Linked DNA regions of Drosophila melanogaster. The protein of the gene in region 1 interacts with the protein of each later gene in a biochemical or structural test. Each region holds a gene or a part of one and is shown on either strand. Other genes may lie near its edges. The genes, in order: Rac2 and pbl.

Region 1 (10,367 bases):
CGCCATTGAAATGGTATGAGATGTGCACCTCCGGCGAGGGTTTTAAAGGAGTTTGTGAGGGTGACATTGGTGGTGCGGTGGTCACAATGGGGCCGAATCCAACCTTCATTGGCATCATATGGCTCATGCCCGAAAACTGCAGCATTGGATATCCTTCGGTACACATACGCGTCAGCGATCATATAAAGTGGATAAAGCGTGTATCCGGAGTGGGATTCTGTGAGTATTCCAAATATGAACTATTTTTTTTTTACTAATAAAGGTGAATGGCTAAATTGATTCATTGCAGAACAAGGATGTACGTTTTAATAATGCTGCCCATAAAATAAACAGAAAAATAAATCAAACAAAAATACAAAAAACAAAGTTTTTCTGGAAACAAAGCATGTCATGTCATGTCATGTTTTTAAAAAATATTAATAAAAATTATTGTAAATATTCTGCAAAATGCAGTTTCTTATCTTAACTCTGTTAGTTATTTGAGTACACAGTATCAAATATTTTACAGCTTGGGATTAGCACACCCAAAATACAGGACTCCTAAAAGTCTACTGCCGTATTTAAACTTATTAAACTAAAATAATTTGGTTTGTATTGCAATTTGGGGATATTATATATAACACAATCGTTAAAGTGTTAAATTTATTGTTATTGTAGCCCTGTTACAGTTGAAGTTGCACTATTTGCTTTATTTCGCTCTTTTCTGTTCAGGCTGCGGTTCTTTAGCGCACATTCATTCATTATCGCCATATATATATATATATATATATATATATATATGTGTGTGTATATATATGTATATCTGTATATGTAGTGTGCGGTTCGTCTGGTGTGGCAATAAAAATGGCTTGAATATTTTTCAGTTTGTTATGCATTTTCCTGCCACTTGGGCAGCAACAACAATTATGAATAACTCGCTGCATAATGGCCAGCAAGCTGTTCCCATGAAATTCCTGCATCGATTACCGGGGGTTGGGATATATATTCATATAAATGTATATATATGTATATGTGCATATATCACTCCGCCAATTACGTGGCAAAGGGAACTGAACTGGGAACTGGCAGTCCCGGCGACAGTAATCAAATAATTGTTGCACTCACTGTCATACGTATCGCACTTTGGCTTTAATTATTTGCACAGTTTTTCACTCCGCAATGGACACGTCGTAATAAGGATATGCGGATAAAGTCCTGAATATGCCAAAGATTACTCGATTAATGCAAAGCGGTTCAGTGCGGCATTTCAATTGCAATTGTTTACTATGCAGAGCAGCAAATTGTTAGTTAACTTCTGGTAATAAAAAATTCACATATATGTACCTAATCGATTTCGAAACGAAACAAGTAATCCGAAATTTGTTTTCGTATATGTCAGCAGCGCTTGTATTTCGAAATACACCGATTCGTAGATGTGATGTTAAATATTTGATAAAACACATTTCCCAGTGCCACGACTTTACCAAAATTATTGAGTTTCCTGATCATCTCGCCCGTGCCGCATAAAATTCGCCTCCATTCCCGGCATTCCGATGGACTACAGCTATAGCATTGGCTCCAAGTCGCCAGTGTTCATCAGCAAATGTGCCCCGTACAACTTTCTGCGGGAATACCGCCTAGGCTGCGATTGTAAGAATATACCAGCTGTCACACTGGTTAAGGAAGCCCGCAACGCTTGGCACGCACTCAGTGACCAGGAGCAGTCCTTGTTCGAGGAAGTCCCCTATTTGATGGCCCAATTCGGACCATCCATCGAGTCGGCAATGAGGTTAACCGTCAATGTCCTGTCGCCTCAGCAGGTCACAGTGCAAAGGACGCGCTCTGATGTTCAGTCAAGTAAGCGTAGAATCTGTCGTGGAAATGCCAAGACGCATAGGAAGAAGCGGCAGCAGAAGATGGGTGCAACGAGCCGGAAGCGAAGTCCAGGGATTGGAAGTACCAGGTGTACCAGGTATACATCCCAATTTCACTGGGAAAACCCGCCTCTTTAAAAACCTTGATGAACCCTTTTGACCACCGGATATGCTAGCAATGGAAAATATAGGTACACTGCAATCAAATGTTTTTTTTTTCTGGGAGCTTAAAGGCTCATTTGGGTTTCAAAATGTTATGGTTTAAGTAAATAACTTTGCTGAAAGGTAATTTGATAACTGCATTATTTGTTGCGCTTATCGCTTTTCAACTTAATTTAACACCATTGTTTTAGCCAAAAGCTTTCGATTGGTTAATCTATTAAATTACGCTGTAATTTGAAAATTAATTCGAAAAAGTGTTGTTTTTGTTTCACGCCCTGACCCGCTGATAACCTTGCGACGCCCACCCGCCCACTTGAAATCGAATACGAAATCGAATGATTCATCCACGCACAAACGGAAACAGAAACATTTATTCCACTTGAACGGACTTCATTGGCGATTTAATTGTTGCGGATTTTTTACAGTAAATTCCATTAAAAACTTTTTGAAAATGCATATTATTGAAATTCATATATTCGTGCTTGTTGTTCGGATTGCTGGAGAACAAATTTTGTGGCGCCTATTTAATTATCCAATTACAGCAGCACCATCAGCAGTGCGAGAAATTAACTTAAATGCGAAAATATTCGCCGACGGCACTTTAAACATTTCCATTTTAAAATCAATGCGAAAATGGGCGTGGCATGTGGAGGACGGGGGGGGGGGATGTTTTGGGCTTCTGGTTGGTGGGGCGGAAGCCAAAACACAAACACGAAATATTTCGGCTATCACTTTTGGCTGAATGCGGATGCGGCGGATTCGGTGGATTCGGTTTGGGTTCTGTTTTTGCTTTTCGGTTTTTACTGTCGATATTTTGCACTGTTTGCCAATGTTATTTGTTTGTTATTCCTTGGGCTTTGGTTTTTGCCGACACACGCAATTTTGTGGTCCATTAAAACAGTCAACGGCAGCAAATATCGCTGGTCATGAAAAATTTAATAATTCGTTTAAGAATTAGATGGGATGTAACGGTCGTAAATTAATATGGCCCGAATTAAGGAGAATTAAAAGTAATTCCAGAATCTAAATTTGAGTTTCCAATTTTAAAATATGAATACTTCCATTTAAGTATATTCATCCAAAGACTGTGACACATATTTAGGTCACATAATTGATTCATCAATAAAAAAAATATTGTTCAATTAATATTTATATCGCGCGATATCAACGTTTTGCTTGTTTTTGGTGTGGCACTGTAATTGTACCGCGATAAGCTACGGGCGATTTGTACCTGAGTTGGGTACCGCACATCTCTGATAGCCTCTAGTCGCGTGGAAATTGGCTCAAAACAACAGCAACGGTCGGGAAATTCGTGGAAAACCGTCGAACGAATATAGAAAACTCTACAAAAACGACCAAAGCAAGGTCAAGTAAAGAGACTCACTATCTCTGTCTCGCTCTGCTCTCTGTGGATTGCCACGACTAACGTCACCGAGCGAATGACTCACTGTGACTAATTTTATGGGACTGCACTGTGCCAGTGCCGCTCTCGCTCACGTTCGCTCGCTCGCTCTTTGTGTGGGAGAGCGTATGCGCGCAGCGCTTCGTTTAAGCGACTAACGCACGCGAACGAGCGAGACAGCCGTACAAGCCAGTTGAAAGAGCGAAAACTACAGTGAAAAAACAAGTACAACAACTGCCAGCGGAGGCAGAAATTTTCTTCAATCGCCGCGAAGATTTCACAGCGTTTGGGCGTGTTTTTTCCGTTTCTGCCACAGAAAATCAGCAAATCCCCACATATGCGGGCCCAATTAATTCATAAATAATATACCGACCGAACAGAAAGAACGCCGTCACGGTTCTGCTTTCAATTAAGAATATTGATTTGACAACTTTCGCGATAAATCAAACTCCACTTCAAATTCGCATCTCTCTCTGTACGCGATTGCTTGAATGTGTGTGTGTGTGTGGGCAGAATTTGTATTAGTGCGTGAGCAAATTATTGTATAATCGCCAAAAAAAAAAAACAATAAAAGCAAAACGCCAACGCGAAAAGCAAAAGCTATACAATTAGAAAAACTAGCTGAGCTGCGATACAAGGCAAAACTAAATTGTGTGACTAAAATTTGTCTGTTGAACAGAAAAAAGAAAAGTACAAAATAGTTCAAAAGTACAAATATCGAAGCATTCAAAAACTGTCTGACCTACTGAATTGAATGAATTACCCCAAAGTAATTATAAGTTAAGCTGCCACAAAGAAAACCAGTTGAGCCACTGGAAATCGAGCACGAAACCAGCTGATCCACTGAAAAACCCTCTGCCCCCAGCGCACAAGCAACCCATCGAGCTGCTGAACCCATCGATTGCCCAGTAGTACCACCAGTACAGTAGCCTTCATCATGCAGGCCATCAAGTGTGTGGTTGTGGGCGACGGAGCGGTGGGAAAGACCTGTCTGCTGATCAGCTATACGACCAACGCCTTCCCCGGCGAGTACATACCCACGGTGTTCGACAACTATTCGGCGAATGTGATGGTGGATGCCAAGCCCATCAATCTGGGCCTCTGGGATACGGCTGGACAGGAGGACTACGATCGCCTGAGGCCGCTATCCTATCCGCAAACGGATGTCTTTCTCATCTGTTTCTCACTGGTGAATCCGGCATCGTTTGAGAATGTGCGAGCCAAATGGTTTCCCGAGGTGCGTCATCATTGCCCGAGTGTGCCGATAATCCTGGTCGGCACCAAACTGGATCTGCGCGACGATAAGCAGACGATCGAGAAGCTGAAGGACAAGAAGCTAACACCGATCACCTATCCCCAAGGACTGGCGATGGCCAAGGAAATAGCTGCGGTCAAGTATCTGGAGTGCTCGGCCCTGACCCAAAAGGGTCTGAAGACGGTCTTCGACGAGGCCATACGATCCGTGCTATGTCCTGTCGTTCGAGGACCCAAGCGGCACAAGTGCGCCCTGCTCTAAGAACTTTGAACCCACCCAAAACAAAAACGCGAAGAACTTCAACAAAAACAAAAAAAAAAACGAGAAGAGAAGAGAACAAAGCGCAAAATTCTGTGCAAAATATTCATATTCGCTTTGTTGGGTCTTTAGTTACAGCAGATAGTGTGTGAGTGTGTGTATTGTGTGTGTGTGTGATGTGAGTGCAAGTGTGAGCGCGTCTCTGGGTTGCGAGTGTGACGGCATGAGTGTGTGAATGAGTGAGCGTAGTTTTGTTTTTATTGTCAGCTTTATGTGGGGGAGCAGCAGCCACAAAAACAACAACACAGCTATCAGCAAGGGGGCTACACAGGGTGGGGGCGGGGCCAGGGGTCTCTGGGGGGCAGATCACGGATAGAAAGATATACACATAAGCATATAAGTATGATATTGTGCGTACACAGTAAAATAAATGTGGAAGAACTTCTAAAACTTGAGATATTTGATGTAATATTGCTCAAATTAATTTCTATATTGCTCTAGATAACATGTTTAAATTTTTCTGTTCTGAGTTATTGTTTCGTAGTATTTTTAATGACTAACTTGTTTTAGAATTTAGATTAAGTACAACTCATACTTTTGCGCTTATGACATACAAGAATTAACATTTTAAAAATGATTTCGACTAATTAAAAAAACATTTTTTATATAATGTTAATTGCAAAAAAAGAAATTTTGATTTTCGCAAATAGTAATCCATAAATTGCCTTAAAACGCAAGTGCATTATATTAAACAGCAGAAATTAGAACTTTGCAAATGAAATTCGGCCTGAGAAACGTATGACAAATCAAATAAAATTAATTGTAAATAAATCTAGACGATTTATAGCCTTTAGCGCCCCAAACGCAGTCACTATAACCAGTACCAGATAGCCGTTATCTGGGTGTGGAAGAAAAACCCCAGGAAAGGCCCCGCCTATGGCCAATATCTGAACAATCGGGGAATGTGGGAAGCCGACAAAAAAAGAACTTTCATTTATACATATAGTATTTAGAGTTACGTGTGAATGTGTGTGTGTGTGTCTGATCAATGGTCTTCCCGCTCAACGCATTTGCCTGGACTTGATTTAATGTATACTAAATGCACAATTAGCCTCTACTTTGATGTTAATTTATATACTGATATTTATGTTAAATAAATGCATACATTTTGCCAATTTGTTTTAACGAAAGAGAGCGAGCGGTAAATTAAAAAAAAAGGAAACACTTTATTTATATTAACACATAATTTATCAATAAAGAGTGTAATATTAATCAACCAAAATAAACGTTTGTACAAAACTAAATAGTCGGATGAATTATGTTGGGAGCAAAGTGCAATTCAGATTTATGTCTATTATGGAAGTAATGTGGGTATATTTAAAGGTTTTCATAGTTGGCAATGCAATGGTGCTTGACCCCTGAACTGCTGCATACTTTTCGGCTAGTGGGGAAAATTGCACACGCCTGGCAACTTTAATCTTATCTGCACCCGCATTTGTCACAAATTTTAGATAATTATTTCCGATTGCCGGACACGCCGGAAGTTCTGATCCCCGGACCGGTTGACTAAGCAATTTGCCAGTTTCAGTCCTATCATACATACATACATACATATGCCTATATACTATAATGGCTACATCATATTTATTTATGTCTTTATGCTCCGCTTTCTTTCAATTCTATCTATATCTATAGAATACTTCGATTGTCATAATGAGCCAGCTGTTGATTGATTGCCCGCGGATACGAGTATGATGAGGGGCTGGTTTGGGTGATTTGGGTGTTTTGGGTGGGTGGTTTTCGATGGCTTTGCGGTCACCGTGTGTCTGCGGCTCGTTAGCGGATGTGGGCATGGCCCCACACTGCCGCTGCTCAGTGTGTGAATTTGACAAATAATTACATAAGACAACCTGCTGTGCGAATTGTGCCCATCCTCCCGCACATTTCAATGGCCACTGATGGATGTTTTTGCCACACCACCATCACCAACCCATCGTGTGGTTTTGTCTGTGACGCGACGAATCGCATAATTGACCCACATTTTGAACAAACACCGCGGCACCAGGCAGCAATCAAAACAGAGAGAGGCCGTAAAGGATAGGGAGACCAACGAAGTCAATTTAATTAGCAAAAACATTTGGCTAGCATCTAGAATTTGGCTGCACCTTTAGAATTTGCACTTTTGGCTCTAGAATGCACCGCTGAAGAAGCCGCTGAGTGAAGACGCGTTGACAGGCGTGGAATGTTCGGCATGTTCAGATACAATTGCCCTACTACATTGCATGCAGATACTTTGTAACAGAACAATACCAAATTCATTTATAATCAATTTCATAAACGAGATCCACGTGTTTGCAAGTTATACAAATAACAGTTTTAAATGTATAGGTTTCTTTGTGCTTCATGCTGGCTTCAATTAATTTCCAAATTTTCCTACGTCTTTAAAAAACATTTCATACAAAAAAGTCTGTATAGTTAGTTTATAAAATTCCTCTAAAATGCAAATGACTGTGCTTTTTCCAATGTGAAATTTATTTCTCACCTGTAAACAGCAGCATTCCAATGCTCTCATAAATAAAAGGCATATAATAAAATTGGCTTGATTTTCCCTTTAATTTTCCATTTACCAACCACAGTCCAAATTTTAGAATGTGAACGGTATTATTCCTTGATTATCACCCCATCCCCCTCCCATCAAATCGAAGTGGGAAAACTGCAGAATGGCCAATACCGCTAAGTGGACAACTGCTGTGCGATGCAAATCCATTGACAAGTGTCGCATAATCATGCCCCATGCCAAATGTAAATGCAAATGGAAATGGCAAATTTATGCACTGCATGCGTGAAATTAAAAGCTTCCCCGGCGGACTTACAGCTCCATTTGGTCCTGATTTTCCAGGGCCAGGTTTTGCAAAAGAGGCTTGCGCAATTTGTCCGTTTTCAAGCGGTTAACAATTTGGCTAAATCAATTATACGCTCGGTGAGCAACATGGAATCGTGGCGATTTTCAGCTTAATTGAGAGATTTCCAGCGAATTCGTGGCCGTTGGGAAAAGTGGAAAAATTTAATATGAAAATTTCCGAAAGAATTCCTTGCTGGCCACAAATTTCGTACAAAATGCCAATAAAATACGCTCCAGCGTAAAAATTCCATGCCACATAAGATGAAGGTAAATTCAGGTGAGCTTGGCGCTGGGGGAGGTCAAAATATTTCACACTTCCGGTGTGGAAAATGCTTGCACCTGATCCTCTGCCAACAGGATATGACAAGCTCGGACACCTTTTCACATCCCCGCCCAAACCACCCAGCTATTTTCTCAGCATATTTTCAGCGGCAACTTCCTGCCAGAAAACACATTGCAAATTATGATGCGAACGGAGAATGGGCGGAAATGTTGAGTTTTCCAAAACAGCCAACTAAAAAAAAATAAATTCATTTGTGCGCTGTGATGCTGCTATTGGTTTTGGCTGCTCATGGAAAAACAAAAAAATATAGGACAAATCGATTTTACTCAAACTGGAAACGACTTCAATACAGATCAATAAACGTTGAAATAATGAAAAACAATAGTTTCCAGCTTTTCCCAAGTTAACTCGAAATTACAACATTTTCAAATTTCACATTAAGATGCTGAATATTTAAGCGGAATAAAACGCGATGCTTGCTGTGAGCAAACAAAAGCTTGAGGACGCAATTGATATGGATGGCCAACAGGCAGGACACGCAGGACATTCAATGGGCTGTGGCGAAAGGAGCGAAGCCATCTAGTGGCGTAGCCAATATCCGTTGCAAGGATTACGCATGTGGGTATCTGCCTCGGACTTGTTATTGATAATCTTTGTCATGGCCAGCATGGCAACGTAAAGCATCGACAGCGGCTAACAAAAAAGCAAGGAGTCACAGGACAACAGCGTGCCGGCAAAGGATGCAGTCAACAAAATTTTAGTACTTCACATTACTTTAGCTTATGGTTTAAAAAATTGTATATACATACATTGAAATTTTTAAGAAGAATTTGCAAGTTTTGATACAAAACGTACTAAGAAAGTTGTGCGTTCCTATTGTGGAAATCAAAGATCGAGCATCTCAATATTTTTGATTGTGTAAAAGATGGGCCAGGATTATCGTCCTGCGGAGTAATGAACTGCGGCAGGACCAGACAGGCGACGAGCCTTGTTTGTCCCGTCGATCGATGCAGCTGGAGTTGAGGCGAGTCGAGTCGAGTGTATTAAAAACAAAGTCACACTGTGTGTCCTGCATCCTTGTACGCTGCCAAAGTCAATGAACAGCGACGTGGGACGCGGACGTGGATGTGGACCGGCTGCCAGGATATGAAGCGTGTGCGAAAGTTTTGCACAATTAGGATGCCTCCCCACCTCGGATCGCTCCTCCTTCTCGGTGCAATAAAAAAGTTTAAAGTTGCGTTTAAATATGCATTCCATAATTCATGGATGCAGGCGGTGGAGCTTTGATTTTCCAGTCGACGCCAGTCAGACAGCAACACGTTTCCGCCATTTTGTTGGCTGGCTGGCAACTTGTTGCATTTTCCACATTTGCATGGACGGAAAATGGTGATCGGGCGGGGGAAAGTGTAAGGGAAATGTTGACATCCCGAACACGTTGAAATTTCCGCCAGACGACGGGCGATGCTGAAAAGCTGAAAACTTGCCAGTCTGACATTCAAATCGACCAAACGTACGTGCGTGTGTGTTTAAGATTTCAGGTGTGCATTCTGAATTTGAGTATGATTCTATGTGAGGCTTTTCATTTTCAATTAAACACAATTACATGTCCAACTGTCAGCTTTCAGTTAATAATGAACACAAGGCACAACTAAAATCCCAAAATAGGTGTCACTTAGTTGCGCCACAGGTAGTGCTCAAAAGTATCTGAATCTTTTGCTACACTCTATTTTTGACCACCACCCTCAGCTATACAGTTCAAAGATTTTCGTATTTGTGTGTTTGGCTTTTGAAAAATTTATGTATATATCTACAATATATGTAAACAAAACACACACCGTCATGGTGTGCTTAGTATTTACATTTGCATATAAGGCTTTTTAGGTAAATAGATAGAATTCTCTGTGGGATCGAATCTAATGAAATCAAATGAACTTACTTTTTAATATATTTTCCTCGCCAAGAACGTTTCTAGAGCGGAGAAAAATTATTCACCCTCGGCGCAGATTGACATTAATTGTTTAAATTGAAGCGGATACGCTCGACTGGCCAGCGGAATTCTTATAAATTTTATTCCGGCATGGGTGAAATCCAGCGAAGGATTTACGCATCCCATTGGACTTTGGATTGCTGTGAGTTCGCAAAAATGCTTGAAGGGCTTAAGTAATGACGGAAACTTTAGGAATTTATGGAAAGAGGAAATTAGTAGCAAGGGGATTCTAAGATTTAGTGATGCAATTATTAACATGCTGCAA
Region 2 (10,689 bases), 480 kb from region 1:
ATTCCAAAGATTCTTATGAATGCTTAAAGCCAAAGTATTTGCATATAAAATGTTGTATCATTTAAGGTATTTCATTTATAGTGTAATAACTTTATTTATCATAGTTCTATAGAAAGTTTGCCTTAACTTTGATATCATGATGTTATCACAATAAGTTTCACACTTACAGTTTCCATCTTCCTTTTGCCGTTTTCTCCCCTGACTCCATTTCACTTGATCTTTCACTTTCTTAGACTTAGACTTTTCTCAGGTTAACTTCCTGTTGTTAGATTCACTTTCACTTTCTTCTATTTTATCGAGCCTGCTATCATATCAGTTTTCACTCGCATTTACACATTTCACCCACATTTCTGGCTGTTAGGTTCAGTTAACCTTACCAACAAAGGCAGATTTTCATTTCCATATGCTCAAATATTTGTCGCGGGCAAACGGAACGATTTTGCCTGATTCAGAGCACCATAACGAGAGTATGAATAAGTTGAGACATCTAGCCGGAGGAACCGAGCGACAAGAGTTTATGATTCTATCCGGGCAACTAAACAAACACAACTGCCAGCCTCGTTGCTTGGGAAAATTATTGAATAAACGATGGGACCGCGGCGAGCGAATGGAGAATGGAAATAGAAAATGCCTGACATGCCAGGCGGTCCACCCTCTTGGCTCCTGCCCCGCTTTTCCTCGGATTTTCCCCACTTTGCAGCTTGTTCTCTCCTCATCACTTAATGTGGCACATAAGTGGCAAATGCTATACAGGCGTGATATTTTCCTATATTTCTCTTATAAGAAAGAACTGCAAACATCACTCTCAATGCGAGAATGTGCGATCTACACAGAAAGATATTTAGATCCAATTTTGTATAAGCCTTTCGAATAAGTCTCTTTTAATTTCAGAATATAAAACAAGAATTCATGATATTTTAGCACATTTTAGCCACCATTTTGTTTCATATCCATATTCCTTCTACAAATTTACCTTATTTTTCTGTGTGTAGTAAAGAAAATAGAGGCGACCGTAAACAAAGAAATCAAGCGAGACAGGTGAAATGCAAAGAGAGTTGAGTCAACCAAATATTTAAGCAGCAGGCATCAAAGAAATGAAATTCCAAAGAACAATTCAATTTTTCGCATTGGGATCCAAGGAAAACCCAGGAAAATTCAGATGCTTAGTCAAAGCATAAAAATGCGCCGCGCGTGCTCGACACAACAATATTCATATGAGATGAATGCGATGGATGATGATCGGATTGAAGTGAATCGCGGAATATGGGGGATCTAGGGGTTTTTGGCCTCGGCAACGGATGACCTGCCATCTCTGGGTGGTAGTGGCGATTCTTTTGTAAAGTGCGCCGATCTTTGACTGAACACGGGGCACTCGAACTTTGCGAGGGTCAAAACTATAGAACAGTCAATGACATGTCGTTCGCGGGCTCTTTCTCGTGCTGTCTCAATTAAATTGCCATATCAAAACTTATAAATTATATACTCCCTCGCAGATATACAAGAAATATTTAAATATATGTATGTAAACACTCCAGAGCGCAGATCACATAAATGCCTCAATAAAAACCATAAATTCGGATCTTTTTTCGCGATTTGTGTTATATTTTTTTTTATGGTAGAGAATTTCCGTTTTTTCCCAAACACTTCTTTCAACACTTTCGACTTGATTTGACATCGCTCGATCTGAAAATACACGAATTCCTATAGATTCTTGGCGCCAAGAGATTGTCGCAATGCCTCCACCTCCTCAATTTTATTCAGATGAAACTTGGCCAATGGCACCAAAAGATTTTGCTTCCCAAGAGAAGTCCCAAAAAAAAAATATTCAAAACGATTCATTTTCAATTTCTTTAGAAGAAATACTATTTGAAATTGTCATGCCAGCGTTTTATTTGTTTTCATTTTTAAACCGATTTCATTCGCAGTTCGCTACGTCCCCAAAATAGGCAATGAATTGCTCCGAGACTTCCCCCATTATGCGAATGTATCGTTCCTATGATTCAGAATGTATATATCCCCCACTCATATCGGCCATGCTGTGGGAACACCGATTAACAAGATCTTTGTGGCATCATTTTGGGCGAGGTTAAGTGGCCGTTAAAGTGCCCCTTGGTCATTCATTTCACTTATCTGCGATTCCTGAGAAAAACTCATTAAAATTCCTCTGTTTCCCTATGATCTTTGTGTATTTTTAATCAGAACTGCATTAGTGCAACAAAAGTACTAACTCACTAGAACTAATTACAATTTAATTGTAACTTGAAAAAATAATGATAATTTCTATATATATTTTATGATCCATGACTATAAGCAGGAATAGCCTATATTCATTTTAATGAATGTTTTGGGATAAACTAAGAAAATACTTTGTCAAAACCGTGAAAAGCCTTTGATGGATTATATAAACTTTAATGCTCAATTTAAATACAGGTGCATTTAATAGTCACGATTTATTCATATCAGTTGACAAAAACAAACTCACAAAGTGCATATTTATTTAAAAAATAAACAACTAACGCTGCAAATAAACTTTCTACGTAGTTTTCCGGATGATAAACAAATTCCATATTTAATACCAGTTTATGTTTTTCTATAGGCTAAGACCAATTAAATTTATAGATGGAATACTAAAAAAAAAAAAATATATGAAACATGAAATATAATTAGCCCAGTGAAAAAAACAACTTATGCGCACCTTAGCTTTGTTTTATTTTTCGCTCATTTGGCGAGCAGAAGAAAAAAAGCGATGAAAACCAAATACAAATTGCAATAACAAAAAGAACCGAAACATGAATGAAAATCTATGAGATAAATAATAATAATTCTTAATGGGGGGAACAAAGCCACTTTTTGGCTCTTTTTTCCCTGTTTCGCATTTTCTTTGCTGTTTCCTTACAAGCAGAGCGTGTGTTGGGAAAACATGAAACGGAAAACAGACGCCCACCGACCCCCCGAATTCATAACAACTTTAACGCACTAGGTGACCTCCAAAAAAAGTGCTCGTAAATAAACGCTAACCAAAGTATGGCAAACTTATGGTTAATAACTAATGAGACAGGGCAGAGGTGGGGTCGCCAAAAAACAAATATTAAATCGAATGTGTATGATTTCGTATCAAAAAGCGTGTAGGTTATTGGAGGCTATTACTACGCAGCAGGCAAATTAATCAAGCGTGCAAAAAAATCAAGAACCCCAACCAATCCAAATAACCGGACCAAATAAAATACATATATCTATATGGAGCAAAAGAACAAACATTTGCGCAAGTTTCAAATTAGACAACAATTTGTAGAAAGCGAAAAGTGTTTGCAAGCTTATGCCGGCAAGTCGAATTAAATATATACCCTTTGTGGTCATAATGTCTATATTATATATTGATGGGAAATTCCGAAAAAATCTTTAGAAATATTGTACAAAAATCATAAGGGGACTCCAACTAAATTTTGGTTTACTATTAGAGCTTGAGGTAATCAAATAATAAACATAATTCTATATTACACAAACAAAATGGCACAGGTGTGCACATTTGCAATTGAAAATGCATTTAAGGCCATTGCTGAAAGATACTACTTCAAATGAGTTTATGGGCATCGAGCAATCGTAACTTTCTTTCCACGCAATACATACGAAAGTGTAAACAAATCGAAATGTTTTGTAGCAAACTACACTGTTTACCCAATTCAAATACCCCGAGGAAGGGTATGCAATCGGAAGGAAGCGGGCAGAGGAGCCGTGTGGTATATCTGGCGCATGGCTGACGCTGTCAATCTTGAAACTGGTGGCCAACGAGTGGATCCACATTGGGGCTCTTGGAGCGAAGATAGGTAGTATACTCGTGCGTGTGTCTCGATTTCAAACTCAATTTGCTGCGGCTCAGCATGGCGATGTGATAATGGCTCTTGACTGTTCAGGCATCTCTTCATAGCCAGAAAGAAGAGAAAAGTGGGTTGTACAGTAAGGAGAAGGATGTGGGGGCGGACAGCTGGACACATGTGACAGATTTGGTCTAAATTAAGCAGCCTTATTGTTCCTCAGCTTCTGGCCGAGTTATTATTAGTACCAGTGACTAGTTATAGGTTCTAATCGTACTCACCATTCCTTTTGCTTGTGTATCGCCTCGAAGCTGGCACCCTCGAAGTCATCCAGCACGTAGAATGTCCGCCAGTCCGACGACTCTCCGAGAATGTCCAGACCCGTGTCCGACGTAACGATGGGCAGGCCAAAGGATTCGGCTGCCTGCAGCGTGTCCGCATCCTGGCCAACGCCTCCCACCAGGCAGATGCGCGTGGGCAGCGTTGTTATGGACATCTCTGGATGGGGCGAAATGAATGGGTATAAGTCATTAAAAAATCAGAAACATGCATTGTGTGCTCTCAAAAATCAGAAATGACCAATGGCATGGGGTTAAGTGCATGTCAGGCGTAAATCAAGCAAATAAATATGCCGTTCATAGGTGTCGATCAAAAAGGGGTTTTTCCATTCAATCTTACATTATATAAAATACTCTAGACTATCACAATATAAAAACCAATGCGAAAATTTAACACACATTATTCTTAGGCCAAAATACAGTATTTTTCCGCTTATTTAAAATATTTGTGATTTATGAATGTTTCCCAACAAAATCAATTTTAACAAACTGCTAAGAAAATAAATATTTTATTGGCAGCATAATTAATTACAGTTCGATATCCGTGTGACCCTTCAACAACCCATACACTACTTTCAACTCGCTTCTGTTTACAGGCGACTGGAGAAAAGATTTTGTTTGATTAATGGCTATTTTTTGGATTTGTTTGTTTATGCAATTGAATGTGCTGTGAATAGGGGGAGGGGGGGAGGGGGTAAAAGATCGAGGGAAAACTGTGCAAAATAAAACAAAGAAATGCGAGGAAACAGAGCAGAGCGGCTAACCAAAATAGAACCCCTTGAGGATGTATAGTAAACATGTACACTACAGATCGAAGATGAAGAATGGAGGATGGCGGATGGCGGATGGCGGATGGGGGCCTGGTCAGCAGAAGCCGCAGCATTAAGCTGCCAAATTGCGAGCTGTTGACAACAATTTTAATTGTGCCGATTTCTTAGACGCCGAAATGAAGCGACCTTCGTTATTGCCATAGTTTTTGACAGGCAGCGAAAGTAGAGTATTCGAAATGAGTGAGAATGGACTTGGGGGAATGGAGAATGGGGAATGTTTTCAAGTGCAAATCATTTACCCCCAATCGACATGGACACAACCACATGGAGCAAGTGGAGACCACTGACGGCGGTCGGCTTTGTTGCATTAATTTTATCCAGAATTGTGCAGCTGTAACCGATGCCAATTGCATCTATATACACTTGTATCTATATCTGGCGAGACATTCGCCACTTGTGCAATTGAACAAAGTCCAGGAAAATGCTGAGGAAGAACTACAGTTCGTGTCGTATTCTCATCTCTGACGTCTCGGAATTTTCAAATAGATATTCCAGATATGCATTCCCAAAACAAGCGATAAACAATGCAATTTACCTAATGGAAATCGTGGCGATTTATGGACTAACAAAATGTTTATAAGGTAGGAATATCACTGGAATGTGGAATCCAATAAAAACCAGTGATACGGAATGTGCTCCATGGGAATTCAGAATTTGTAGAAGATTGATATGGGTATTAAAACGCACAAATGTCCACATCATTAAATGTGAAAAAAATTGTTTGATTTATTCAATTCGAGAGGCTTTTAGCGATGAAAAGTCATATATGCTAATTCTGCGAATAATTTTTTATATGAACAATTTCTTTAATGATGCATTCTAAGCTATTAAACGAAACATATTGTTAAGTTTAATGCGCCTTATTATTTCCACGAATTGCTTGACTGGCATTTAAATCAATATCACCTTAACATGACATCGAATGCTTTCCTCGGAAAGTAATATATTTATTTATGAAATACATAGTTATTTTTACTGTTCCTGCACCTTTCCCAGGTGTTTGTCGATGGTCTGGCTGAATGGATGGATGATTCACGAAAGACTTTACCCTACTTAAGTTTCCCTCTGGCGAATATGTTGCTCTTGCTTTTGCGCATATTCAACCCTTGGAAACGAGTACCTGAAGGGGTTTATCTGGGAATCTTGAAATACCTGTAAAATCCTCGTACACCTGACACAAGGCGGCCTGTCGAAGCTTCGCCTGTTTGACCTCCTCGTCGGCGGCATATGTGAAATAGGAGGCGGATTGTCGCTGAACCGTGACCACTTTGTTGCTCTTTTTGCCCAAATGGTTGCCAAAGTTGAACTGCACCAGCGGTAAGTGTAACATTTTGTTCGCAGATCCTCAAGGATCGGGCTCTAAAACATAACTAAATGCAAGACGAGCTCAGGCTGAGGGAACACCTGAAATCGCATTTTGCATGGCCACAGGTGGTAGCTTCTTCGGTTCAAACAAGAAGAAGAAGGTATGTAAGTGAGGTCAGGAGAAAAGGTAAACGCAAAATGGTAAGCAAAATTTCCGAGTGTGAGAAAGTGCCGAGACTCACAGGTGGCGGCCACCATTTTTCGCCATTCGGGAATTTCCTTCCTTTTTGCCCGAACAAAATCCGCTGTTGTTATTTATTTTCTACTTTTCCTCGCTGGCTGCCTGCCAGGGAAACGATGAAAAACTAATTGAGTGGCATCTGAGAAATGAAAAGCCATCGGAAGAAGAGGGCTGTGTGTGTGGGTTTCTGGGCATTCAGCCACGCAGCGAAAAATGTCCTATGCGAAATCATAGTTAACCCAAAATGACAATTTTTGATTTTTACTTAAATTCTCGTGTCTATTGCTTTTGACCTAGACCTAAAAGCATTTTTAAGTGACAATGAAATCCAAAAATAAAATATTTTATGTAAAAAAATTGTGTTTTAAACGAAAGACGTTTTGTAATTTTGGAATAATATTTAGAAAATTACTTTAAATCTCTAGAAAAAAAAACCTCAGTTTACCTGCAAGTTTAAATTATACATAAAATCAACCAATTTCTCGCTGTGTAGCGGATTTTGTCAAATAGCAGAGCAGAGTCATCAAAGAAAAATCTTGTAATAAAATTACGTACGTATCCCGCGGAAGCCTTGACGTAGGCGAAGAGCAGATTCCGAAGGTCTGCGGGCCATGTAAAATGCCATTAGCATTGAGGGACGGAAAACACGGACTACAGGCTATATAGTCATAGTTGTATGGGCATGTGCGCCCTGTCAACATGTGTAAATGGAATACGAGGTAATCGGCCAGCGGGGTAGGTAAACCACCCGGAAAGCAAGGATCAAGGATTCTGTGCAACAAGAGGAGGAAGTAGAAGGAGCGAAGAGCCTGTCGAGCAGGATAAATTCTTCTTCTTACCTGGCGGCAAGTATTAGAGCGGAGCAGACAGAATAAGTACACAAAGATATCATGTAGAGTTGATTTCAAAAGTATCTACATACATATGCACATTTAAAGGCTAAATAACATCAAAGGAGAATTGATTTTATAACCTAACCAAATTATAAACTTTTAATTGATATATGCTTTATTTGCGCCTCAAATTCGGACACAAAATACATTAAATGATAATTTTATTTGTTTATGCCGCGCGCTGGAAAAATTCCTGCCGTACAACATATTTACACGTATTTTTTAAGGCAATAACCTTTGAAATTGTGTGGTATTTGCAGTTACACGTTCTCGTTGCGGAAATCGTAGGCTTATGGAAAGTATAACAATTTTAATTGCCTAGAAACAATTTTGTTTTTAGTTAAATAAAAATGTTAAAAATATAATAAAAACTTTATAGCAGAGATTTCTCTTTCCCATCAATACCTAAATCTATCTTTTGTTAATTGTTTACTTTTTTAAGATTCGATAGTTTCTTGTTTACTTTCTTTTATAGCTACAACTCCATGGCTAAAAACGGCTGAATTCGCATCAATGATAACAGGAACTGATCGCTTAAATTGTTGTTGCTTGTCCTTTCTTTTTACTCTCACAACAGTTAGGGCGCCTCAGTTGTTGTTGTTGTTCTTGCTGTCGGTACAGTGTCGCCGAAGAGAGGGAGAGTGAGGGGAAACGATGATGAAGAGAGGGAGGCATTTCGCATTTATGCGATAAATATTTTCTACACCGAAATAAATTCAGAAAAAAAGATTAAAATATCTGCGACACGATGCCGTTGCTTTTTTAGTCACACAAATACACACAAAGATGTACTTATAGTCGTTGTTATTTCATTTTATTTTTTTGCATTTGCTGGCAGCGACATTTTTTATGAGGATCTTTTGGCCCCGAATGTGGTTTTACCCCGTACCCAACCCCTTTGGGCGACATTGAAAAATGATAAATTCGCCGGCCATTTGGAGCTGCCACGCCCCGCGCCCTCTTTCAGTACTCACCGCACTTCGATTGCTCTTCAATGGTCTCCATTTCCATGGATCTTCTGCAGTTACTTTTTTAAGGCGAACAACTCGTGGAACATACACAAAAACACACACCAACAGAACTCGAAACACAATAGAACGAACGCACAAGGAGACAAATAATTCGTTTGTACTCGATTCGTTTACTTTCATTAACTGGACGCTGTTTTCATGCATTTAGCGCGCATCATTTCCATGTTTGTTTGTTTTTCTACTTTTTGTTACAATTTATTTATTATTTAATTAAAAAGCGGCGGCTCACGAAAACACACACACACAGACGCGCATAGGCAGCGTCGCCCGGTTCTTCGTCCTCTTGTTAGCGATACCGCGTACCTGCTTTAGCAATTTAACCAACAAAATGATCAACAATGTAAGCGAATTGCGCTCAACGGCTGCGCGTCGGAATCACAAATCAAAACTCAACGGACAAACGCGTCTGTTTCGAATTTTTTTCGCTGTAGTGTGCCGCGCAGTGTAACCGTCGCGGGGGCGCCAAGAAATACGCGCAAATGTGATGAACGAAATACCAGAATCAATCGGCGCTAAATAATGGTCACACTTGCAAGGGGTTGAAGGTATTCCCTGTAATGCTATATAACTAAATTAAACGACTATGGCTATAAAATAGTTGTAAGCTGCACTATATTAACAATCAATTAGAACTGTTTTCTTCGTTTAAGTTGTTTTTGGCCTGTCGATAAATTAAATTTGGTAATATCCTACTATTGTTGCAGTTGTAGCCTCCAATCATATTTTTCATGCAAGCTATATAAGCTACAGTTAATTTTATGTATGCTTGCTCATATATTTAATAAATGAATGCCTAAAACTACTTGCTTTTGTGCTACTTTGTTTAAATATACGCGCTTGATAACAACGAGTTGACCGATAAATACTGCTGGCGAAGTATCGATACCAGTGACAAGCATTGCCACTACGTCCGCACTTGTTGCTGTATCTTCACGCTCACGCACACTCGCACACAACCATTACGTCAATATGGCAAACAATCTGTCAAACGCGCAATTACAACAAACACAGTTCGTTCGCATTGACAGTTGGTCAATAGGTCCATCCAGGATTCGCTGAAGTGGTGAAGATAGCCAAGGACTGCAGCTGGCGTGGATTGGCAGAGGGTAATCCAGAGATCCGCGCAAAATGCTGCCACAAACGCCGCCGCACGGATTGAAGGTGATGTCGGGAGCGGAGGAGAACCGACACTATCTGCGCGCCTTCATCCAGACATACAGGGATCTGCCCGTGCTGTGGGACACATCGCTGCGGGACTACACCAATCGGGAGAAGCGGGCGGAGGCCTATTTGCGCCTGGTGCCCATATACCATTATCTCAAGCGGGACGCCACCGTGGAGGATGTGAAAAAGAAGATCAACACACTGCGCACGAACTACCGCAAGGAGCTGAAGGTGGTGGAGAGTGCCCTGCGATCGGGCAGCCTCCACAGTCCACGCTGCTGGACCTTTCAGGAGCTGGACTTTCTGCGCAACTCGGAGAAGTTTCTAGCCGTCAATCCCGCCTTTAAGAACGAGCCCAACTTCGCCTTCGGTGAGAGCAGCAATTGCCCGAGTGCGTTTCTGGAGAGCCAGGGAGCAGCCCTCCATTATCCAGCACCACGCGCTGGTGGTCAGACGCCCAACATTTCCGAGATGTTTCACAAATCATTTGGAGCTCCGCCACCGCCACCGCCAGCAACCAACCATGTGGATTATGGGAGCAGCAAGCGAGCCAGGCAAACGCCGCCATGTACGGGAGCAGGAGCCGGATCTACTGGCGGTCCTGGGGCAACAGGCACCGCCCACAACACCGACGAACTACTCAACATAGCCTGCGAGTATTTGGCTGGCACATATCCGGAGGAGGAGTCCATCGCCCGCACCTGGACGCACAAACTGAAGCGACTGCCGCGCGAGCAGCGTCTTCTGGCCGAACGTTTCATCAACGAGATTCTCTTCGAGGCCGAGTCCAACAATCTGCATCGCGGATCTGTGCAAATCAACAACAGCTTCGAACCCTACGTTCGCTACGAAGAAACGCCAAATGGTCACGAGGAGCAGGACAAATCACAGAGCCCCAGTGTGCACACCTCCAGCGAATCCAAGCCCAATGTGTCGGGAGCGAGCGGAAGCGGGGGAGGAGGTGGGCCACCGGGCAGCACCACCACCAGTGCGGGCATCAGGGAGTTCTAACTTTAGTTTAGTTACTAAGTGTTAAGTTTTTATTGGCCGAGGGATAAATGGCAAATGCGATCAA

Evidence for each region.
Region 2: of the proteins of Rac2 (region 1) and pbl, one has a biochemical effect on the other in vitro, tested with the Drosophila melanogaster proteins (one study listed by BioGRID).

What each region holds. Positions count from the first base shown.
Region 1 is NT_037436.4:7,428,498-7,438,864, reverse strand, and holds Rac2 (Rac2), read left to right. Parts: upstream 1-3,674; 5' UTR 3,675-4,354; coding exon 4,355-4,933; 3' UTR 4,934-6,103; downstream 6,104-10,367. Other genes in the region: sphinx1, read left to right, coding at 1-219, 290-291; CG14835 (uncharacterized protein), read left to right, coding at 1,533-1,991. UniProt on the Drosophila melanogaster protein: Involved in integrin alpha-PS3/beta-nu-mediated phagocytosis of Gram-positive S.aureus by hemocytes.
Region 2 is NT_037436.4:7,903,029-7,913,717, forward strand, and holds the start of pbl (pebble), read right to left. Parts: upstream 8,927-10,689; 5' UTR 8,431-8,926; coding exon 8,394-8,430; intron 6,311-8,393; coding exon of another isoform or gene 6,133-6,310; intron 4,311-6,132; coding exon 4,094-4,310; intron 556-4,093; exon of another isoform or gene 209-555; coding exon of another isoform or gene 168-208; intron 1-167. Other genes in the region: CG8281 (uncharacterized protein), read left to right, coding at 9,579-10,625.